Coturnix japonica: one gene and its partner. The protein of the gene in region 1 purifies or fractionates together with the protein of each later gene. This does not show direct contact. Links are inferred from orthologs where the notes say so. Each region holds a gene or a part of one and is shown on either strand. Other genes may lie near its edges.

Region 1 (4,399 bases):
CCGCGCGGCGAGGGAAAACGGCGCCGCTCCGGCCACCTCCGCGTTCTCAGCGGGCCCGAGCTGTTCCCGCAGCTCCGCTCCGCTTCTCGTGCGAAGATCGGCACGGGGCGGGACGAGGGCAGGACGGGGGGCCGACCTCGCGTGAGCTGCGGCGAGCGGAGGTGACCCGCTCGGTCAGGGGGAGGCGTGCGGGAGCTCAGCCCGGCGGCTGCCGGGAGCGCGTCCTGCCCGTGTGCGGGGGCTGCGGGCTGCGGGCTCACAGCTCCGTGTGGATCAACGCGTTACAGCTCAGCTCCTCGGGGAGCCGGATCCGCGCCGCCAGCCCCGTGTGCGCGTCTCGTGAAGCTTCTCCTTTAACACAGCTCCCCTCACACACGTTTCAAATTCGTTTGCCAGCTTCGTATATTATAACCGGACGCATATAAACCGCTTTAGATAACTAAAAATGGAAATGAGACGCAGTGGCGATACGAAAGGAATTATTTAAAGGAACAACTTTTCGTCACGTGAGCCGTGGAACGTTATTAGCCGGGCACGAGGCAGCTTTGTGCTCGGGTCTCAGGCGCCAGTCAGCGGCCGCGCGTACGGGAGCGTGCGCTCGCACGCATCGCTGTCCGGCCCCGGCGCAGCCCCACAAATCCCGCAGCGCAGCGCAGCGCGTTGCCGCGCCCCCAGCGCGGTTCGGGGGCAGCTCCGCGGCCGCCCGGCGCGGCGGTGGCTCCCGGGTCGCGCTGACGCGGCGGGGGCGCCGTGCCCCTCGCGAGCCGCGGGCCGCGCCCGTGACGCAACCGCGCTCCCGGCACGAGCGGCGCCGCTTCGCGCGACTCCGGCGTCCGCCGCGCCGCTCCGCCCACGGAGCTCGGCGGGGAAGGGCCGGCCCCGTTTGTGTTTCGCTTTCCCCCCGCCGTTAACGTTCCGCTTCTTCGCGTGGAGCGGAGTCGATGCGAGCGCTCTGCCCGGTGGCGGCGTTACGCGAGCATCGGCGGCCGGTTAAAGGGGCAAACGGCCGCGCGTTTCGACGGCGCGGGGGCAATCCTCGTCCTCCCCGCGTGAGCATCTCGGCGGTCCCTCGCCCGCCGCCCCGCCTTACACGGCACCGCGGGGTCGCACACGCGGCGCCGCCGGGGCACGCGGGACCCCTCCGGCAGAGCGCCGGGCGCCGGCGGCCTCACGCCCGGCAAACGAGAGTGAACCGAGAAGGCGCGGCCCCGGAGCGGCGCGCACGCACGCGGCCGCGGCGCGGAGAGGCGCTCCCCGCCGCCGTACCCCGCGGCCGGGCAGGGCGCCGGGCATGCGTGCTACGCGCAACAAGTGGATGCGCGGCGCGGGCGGAGGAAGGCGGCGGGGGAGCGGGGCGCGGAGCCGGGTCGTGACGCGGGGCCCCGCCCGGGCGAGCCGCCCCGCCCCGCGCCGAGCCGGGCAGGGCTGAGCCATGCTGGGCTGAGCCATGCTGAGCGGAGCCGGGCGCGCGGAGGAGGGGCGGCGCGGGGGGAGCGCGGCGCGGCGCGGAGGAGGGGGCGCGCGGGCACGGCGGCGGCGGCGCGCGGTAGCGCGCTCGGACTGCGAGACGGCGGCGAGGATGTGAGTGAGGAGCAGGCGGCGCCGCTCGCCACGCTGCTGCCGCTCCGCCGCCGCTCGAGGAAGTCGCGGCGCTCCGCCCGGGTGCCTCTCGTCGGCGGGACGGATCGGATCGGTTCGGCTCGGATCGGCGCGTAGGGAACGGAGCGCGAGCTCGGCGGGCGGCCGCGGCGGGTGGAAGGTGACCCCCTCCCCCCCCCCCCCCCCCCCCCCCCCCCCCCCCCCCCCCCCCGTCTTCCTCCGAGCACCTCCGCCTCCTCCCGGAGGAGGAGCAGCGCCGGAGAGGCAGAGAGCGCCGGGAAACAGACGCGGCGAGAAGGCGACCCCCGCCCAGCCCCCCGCGGCAGCGGCAGACGCCGATCCCCTCCCCGCCGGGGCAGCAGCGCCGGGAGCGGGCGGCGGCGGCCGTCCCCGGCTAACAGCGGGCGAGCCTCGGCCGCGAGCGGCGCCCGGAGCGGGTACGGACGCTCTTTCCAGCTCCGGCCCGCGGGGGAAGAGCGAGGCGGCCCCGACAGCGGCGGCGTCGGCTCCCCGGCCAGCGGCACCATGTCCGCCGCGCAGGTGTCGTCGTCCCGGCGGCAGTCGTGCTACCTGTGCGACCTGCCCCGCATGCCCTGGGCCATGATTTGGGACTTCACGGAGCCCGTCTGCCGCGGCTGCGTCAACTACGAGGGAGCCGACCGTATCGAGTTCGTTATAGAGACGGCGCGGCAGCTGAAGCGGGCGCACGGCTGCTTCCAGGACGGCCGTTCCCCGGGCCCCCCGCCGCCCGTCGGCGTCAAAGCGGTGCCGCTCTCGGCCAAGGAGGCGGCGGCGGCGGCCGCGGCGGCCCAGCAGCAGCTCAACCATGTGGACGCGTCCTCCAAGGCGGCTTCGGGGCTCTCCCAGTCGGGCCTGGAACGCTACGGGCTGAGCGCGGCGGCGGCCGAGCAGCGCGGCCGCTTCGAGTACCCGCCTCCTCCGGGCAGCCTGGGCGGCGGCCACGGCGCCCGCCTGCCCAACGGGCTCGGGGGGCCCAACGGCTTCCCCAAGGCGCCCGAGGACGGCCCGCCGGAGCTCAACCGCCAGAGCCCCAACTCGTCGTCGTCGTCGTCCTCCTCCCGCCGCGGCGCGCACGGCGGGCTGGTGTCCGGCCTGCCCCCGGGGGCGGCGGGCGCGCAGCTCAACGTTCCCCCCAACCTGCTGCCGCAGACCCTGCTCAACGGGCCCGCCGCCTCCGGCGTGGCGCTGCCTCCGCCGCACGGGGGCCTGAGCGGCCGCGGCGGCGGCGGCCCCCAGGCGCCCTCCGCCTCCTCCCAGGCGGGTGCGTGCGGCGGCGGCGGCGGCGCCGGGGGAGGCGGCGGCCCGGCCCCGGAGGGCTGCGGCAAGCGGCCGGGCTCGGTGTCCAGCAGCGACCAGGAGCGCGAGCTGAAGGAGAAGCAGCGCAACGCCGAGGCGCTGGCCGAGCTGAGCGAAAGCCTGCGGAACCGGGCCGAGGAGTGGGCCAGCAAGCCCAAGATTGTGCGGGACACGCTGCTGACGCTGGCCGGCTGCACGCCCTACGAGGTGCGCTTCAAGAAGGATCACGCCCTGCTCGGCCGCGTTTTCGCCTTCGACGCCGTCTCCAAACCGGGCATGGACTATGAGCTGAAGCTCTTCATCGAGTACCCCAGCGGCTCCGGCACGGTCTTTTCCAGCGCCTCCGGCGTGGCCAAGCAGATGTACCAGGACTGCATGAAGGACTTCGGCCGCGGCCTCTCCTCGGGCTTCAAGTACCTGGAGTACGAGAAGAAGCACGGCTCCGGCGACTGGCGGTTGCTGGGGGACCTGCTGCCCGAGTCCGTGCGCTTTTTCAAGGAGCTGGTGGGCGCCGACATGCTGCCGCAGCCGTACCTGGACGCCAGCTGCCCCATGCTGCCCACGGCGCTGGTGAGCCTCCCGCGGCCGGGGGCCGGCGCCGGCGGGACTCAGGGCGCGGCCGCAGCCTCCCGGGGCCCGGGCGGCGGCGGCGGCGGCGGGAGCGGGGCCATGCGCAAGAGGAAGGCGTCCCCCGAGCCCTCGGACTCGGCCGAGGGGGCCCTGAAGCTGAGCGACGAGCAGCAGCGGCAGCAGTGGATGGCCAGTCAGAGCGAAGCCCTCAAGCTCACCATGTCGGCCGGGGGCTTCGGGGCGGTGCACGGCGGGGGCCCCCCGCCGCCGCCACCGCCGCCCCTCGGGCCCCACTCCAACAGGACCACGCCGCCCGAGTCCGCCCCCCAGAACGGACAGTCCCCCATGGCCGCGCTCATGTCGGTGGCCGACACGCTGGGCAATGCCCACTCGCCCAAGGACGGCAGCTCGGTGCACTCCACCACTTCTACCCGCAGGAACAGCAGCAGCCCCGTGTCGCCGGCCTCCGTGCCGGGCCAGCGCCGCCTGGCCTCCCGCAACGGGGACATGAACCTGCAAGTGGCCCCTCCTCCCCCCAGCGCCCACCCCGCCATGGACCAAGTGCACCCCCAAAACATTCCGGACTCCCCCATGGCCAACAGCGGGCCCCTGTGCTGCACCATTTGCCACGAACGCTTGGAGGACACCCACTTTGTTCAGTGCCCTTCGGTGCCCAGCCACAAGTTCTGCTTCCCCTGTTCCAGAGAGAGCATCAAGGCCCAGGGGGCGACCGGCGAGGTCTACTGCCCCAGCGGAGAGAAATGTCCCCTCGTAGGTTCCAATGTGCCTTGGGCGTTTATGCAGGGCGAGATCGCTACCATCCTAGCCGGGGACGTTAAAGTGAAAAAGGAGAGAGACCCTTGAGTAGGAAATCCGATCCCTTCAGGCTCCTGAAGATGTAGAATTGTGAATA
Region 2 (3,803 bases), on another chromosome or scaffold:
AGTGCAATCCTAAACTTGCTTCCTTCTGAATGCCAATCTGTGGAGTAGGTTGTGAGCTGAAATGGTAGCAGAGCTGGCATGGGACCGAGATGTAACACTGGGAGAATGTATTTCCTGGTGGTGTGTGGCTGCTTTGTCAGATCTAAATCCGGCCTGTAAAGGAGTATTCAAGAAACACTTGGTTTTCAGAGGTCATCTTGAGCACTGGCTGTGGAACCATACAGGTTAGGCTTTGTGGTTGATTTCAATCATCTACAACTACTACTTTGTAATTAATTAGAAGGGATACGTGCTTTCCAGCAGGGCAGGGATCTGAACAGTTAAGAAATAGTACGATTTGTCCCTTGGCTGTTCCCTTCTATTGGGCTAAAGATGGAATTATCCAGCAAAGGTTCTGTTCCTGAATACAGGAGAGATCTAAACCCTCATTCTGAGCATGTGATGGCTTTCCTGGTTCTTGTGTAGAGGGACCACAGGTATGGGAAGAGTTCTGAGGAAAATTAAGTAGTTCCCTGGAGAAAAAATAGTTGAGAGAAGCAAGAATAATTGGTGGTGCAGCTCACTGTGAGCCAGTGGTTGGCAGGTGGCTGGGAGTGACGTGTGGGTGAAGCTCCTTTGCTTGCTTCACTGCCTTCCTGTAATGAAGATGTGAGTACTGCCCATACACCAAGTGTGGTGTAAAGTGAAATATCTCATACATGAGTACAAAATCAGCATTGCTTTAGTTGCAGTGAATGAAAACTTGATTGTGTGAGCGTGTCCGCTGAGAGCTGCTGTTCAGCAGTGATTTGAAATCATTCTTTTGAAGATTCATGGTAATTAAATGGTTCTGAGATGTGTAGTTTGCTTCTCTTTCATTTTCTGCTCTGAAAATTGTGCTTCCTGCTCTGAATCACTGAATTTTGCTGTTACCATCCCCTGTCCTTTGGCTATATATATTTTTGGGCTTCAGCAGTGCTTAGGGAATATTGCAGTGTCAGGGGGCAGAGTCCCATTTATAGTATAACAAATAAGGAGGTGTCTGATCATAACAGAGACCAGTTATTATCAGTTGTTACTTTAACTCAGTGCATTTAGAAAAGCTTCTTAAGACATTCCAGAAATTCTGAAGAGTTCTGAAAATCAATGTTGGTTGCCAGAGTTTGCAGGTGTGAATCATTTTCTTGCCTTTGTTGGGAGGTGGCTGGATAGAGCAGGGTACCTCACCAAGGGATGCTGTACCCCTCCCAAGCAAAATGCACCACCTCACATTTCTTAAAGGGATTGAATGTAGCGTATCTCACTGTAGCTTCTAAAAACCAGTAAGTTCTTCAACTTTTTTTCTTTTTCTTCTATTAGAAACAAGACTGCCAATGGAGATTATCGAAAGGAGCACAGAGAGAGGAGTCGCAGCCCGATAGAGAGGGCTGCTGCCCCAACCATGAGCCTTCATGCCAATCACATGTATGCCTCAATCCCAAGTCTGACCATGGATCAACCTCTCGCACTGACCAAAAACAGTATGGATGCAACCCGAACAGTTGGCATCACACCTACACTGACTTCTGTGGAACGGCAGCAGGTATTGGCTTCTGGGTCGACAAGGAAGTGGGGGGCTGTAGAAATCCTTGCTGTAGACACAGTGAGGACTTCCCAGACATAAGCAGAACATATTGTGAGTTACAGTAGGTTGGCGATACCATTCTTTAGGCAAATTGTATTTTAAAAAACGCATGAATTAAGCACACTGAGCAGTGTATTTAATGTGAATTAAATTCCTGGTGTTCAGATGCATCTGTCAGACTTCTTAGCCATGCTGCTTCTTCTGACGCTTTGCTAAGCTTGTGAACACGTGTTTGAATTGGGAATACAGAGTCGGTGTTGCTGCAGCTAAGTGAGGCTCTGGTACCTGTCAGGCAGTAACTGATGCAGTGCATACGTAGAGGGCATTTATATGTGCTCCCACTGGCAATCAGTGAGTGCTTGGACTATGATGAACTGCAGTGTTGAGAACTTAAGACTGGCCTGTATACCCAAGCTCTTCCTTCCTTCCTTCCTTTTGCCCCTCCAGTGATGCACTGCAAAGGGTAAACACTTGGAATGGATGATCTCTCCGAGGCTCAGATTTTTTATATGCAATTTGTTGAAAGCTTTTTTTCCCCTGGAGCGTGTGCTTTACCTGCTGTGTACATTTTTACCACAGTTGGCTACATACACTGGTCTACGTTTTGCCACGCCAAGATGCCTGGCTCTACACCAGTGTCAGTCTCTTGCATCATTCAGCACAGCTCACACAGTTATCGTTCTGTGCAGAACAGCTTTTCTTTGCCCTCAGCGTTCAGTGATGACAGAGGAGGAAGGGACAGGCTGCCAATGACGCCACTGCTGCCCTTTGATAGCATGACTGCTGCTTCTCAGCTTGGCAGCTAACAGCGCTGACACTCTTCTATTATAGCATTTGGCTTGGGCTGATTCCTATTACCCATCAGCAGATTCCCTTCTATTTTATCATCTTTGATAACTTTGAGCTACATTGCAGTCTTCTTTCTTGAGGAAATAGGATGTTGAGGTAAGAAGTGGCTAAGATCGCAGAGTAGAAATGGTACAAAGGAAAAACAGCGTATTGAATGAAAGCACAATTTATTTTTCATGTTGCACATTGAATGGGATTTTATCTTACTGTATGTTGCTGACAGAGAGGAGAATACAATAGCTTTTGTTTTAGGTGGTGTGCAGGTATTCAGTTGCAGTAGCTGCTGTTTTTACATTCTCATCTCCTCATCCCAGTGTTTTTTATATACATTGGCACAGTCTGCTCGGTGCACCTGCACAGGCAGCATCATGCCAGCGGGATCTGTGCGACGCCTCTTGTTTTTGGCAGTGGTGAACACATTCCTGAGACCAGCTCTCCTACTACTTCTCTCTGCTTCTCATATCTTGCATGTCTAAAGAAGCATGCACACATTCCTTGCACTGCTCCACAGATGCACATAATGTTTGCCCTTAAGGAAGTTAAAAAAATTAAGAAGTGCCACATGTGAACTGCTTACAGAAAAATGCAAATAAATAACCCCTTTTCTTTATTTACCTTTTGACTTTGCTGTCCATGCAGTAGGATGTGAATGGCATTCAGACTGATTGAAGGCTGCCTTTTCTCTCCCCATTAGAACCGACCGTCCGTCATTACGTGTGCGTCTGCCAACAACCGGAACTGCAACCTCTCTCACTGCCCCATTGCTCACAGTGGCTGCGGTTCAGCAGTGCCTGCCTACAGAAGACCCTCTAGCAGTAAGTCACATCTCAGCACTCTCACTAACTGCCTGATAAGAGCTGGAGAACATTTCCTCACTAACTTCAGCTGTGTAGGCTTTGGTGTATTACTAAGAATAAAGTGAGGTGAAACAACAGGCACCCCATTCTGTATCCTTTCTACCAGAGGCACACATGCAACTGCGCGTCTTCTCACTGTCAGTGCTGTGCCAGGATAGAAGATACCACTTCAAAACTAGAGAGTTGTCCTTTTCTCTTATTTTGAGAAGTATTGACAAGTAAGTCATTACATTTATTGCAGTCTAACTAACAAACAGCAAGCAGAAGTGAGCAGCAAATCCAGCCATGCTCTCACTGCATGTGCCGTACTTCCCAGCCTTTCAGTCGTCAGTCACCATCCATGATTCAGCTGCAGCAACAAAATCTTTTGCTGTAGATGCAAATCCTCTCCCAAAGCACAAACCCTCCACCTTTCTCTGCAGGGATGGCGTGAAGGGCAGCTTTGGAGGGCAGCTGCTATAGCAACCCAGAGAAGGAGCTTTCTACCCTCTGTG

The links.
Region 2: the proteins of IRF2BPL (region 1) and VGLL4 purify together in Homo sapiens (affinity purification with mass spectrometry; 3 studies listed by BioGRID and IntAct, counting the BioPlex papers as one, with this or other methods). This does not show direct contact. The link is inferred for Coturnix japonica from reciprocal best matches to the Homo sapiens genes IRF2BPL and VGLL4.

What each region holds. Positions count from the first base shown.
Region 1 is NC_029520.1:35,383,877-35,388,275, reverse strand, and holds the start of IRF2BPL (probable E3 ubiquitin-protein ligase IRF2BPL), read left to right. Parts: upstream 1-1,512; 5' UTR 1,513-2,124; coding exon 2,125-4,350; 3' UTR 4,351-4,399. UniProt on the Homo sapiens protein: Probable E3 ubiquitin protein ligase involved in the proteasome-mediated ubiquitin-dependent degradation of target proteins. Through the degradation of CTNNB1, functions downstream of FOXF2 to negatively regulate the Wnt signaling pathway.
Region 2 is NC_029527.1:2,958,014-2,961,816, reverse strand, and holds part of VGLL4 (transcription cofactor vestigial-like protein 4), read left to right. Parts: intron 1-1,338; coding exon 1,339-1,561; intron 1,562-2,607; exon of another isoform or gene 2,608-2,981; intron 2,982-3,067; exon of another isoform or gene 3,068-3,146; coding exon 3,147-3,267; intron 3,268-3,803. UniProt on the Homo sapiens protein: May act as a specific coactivator for the mammalian TEFs.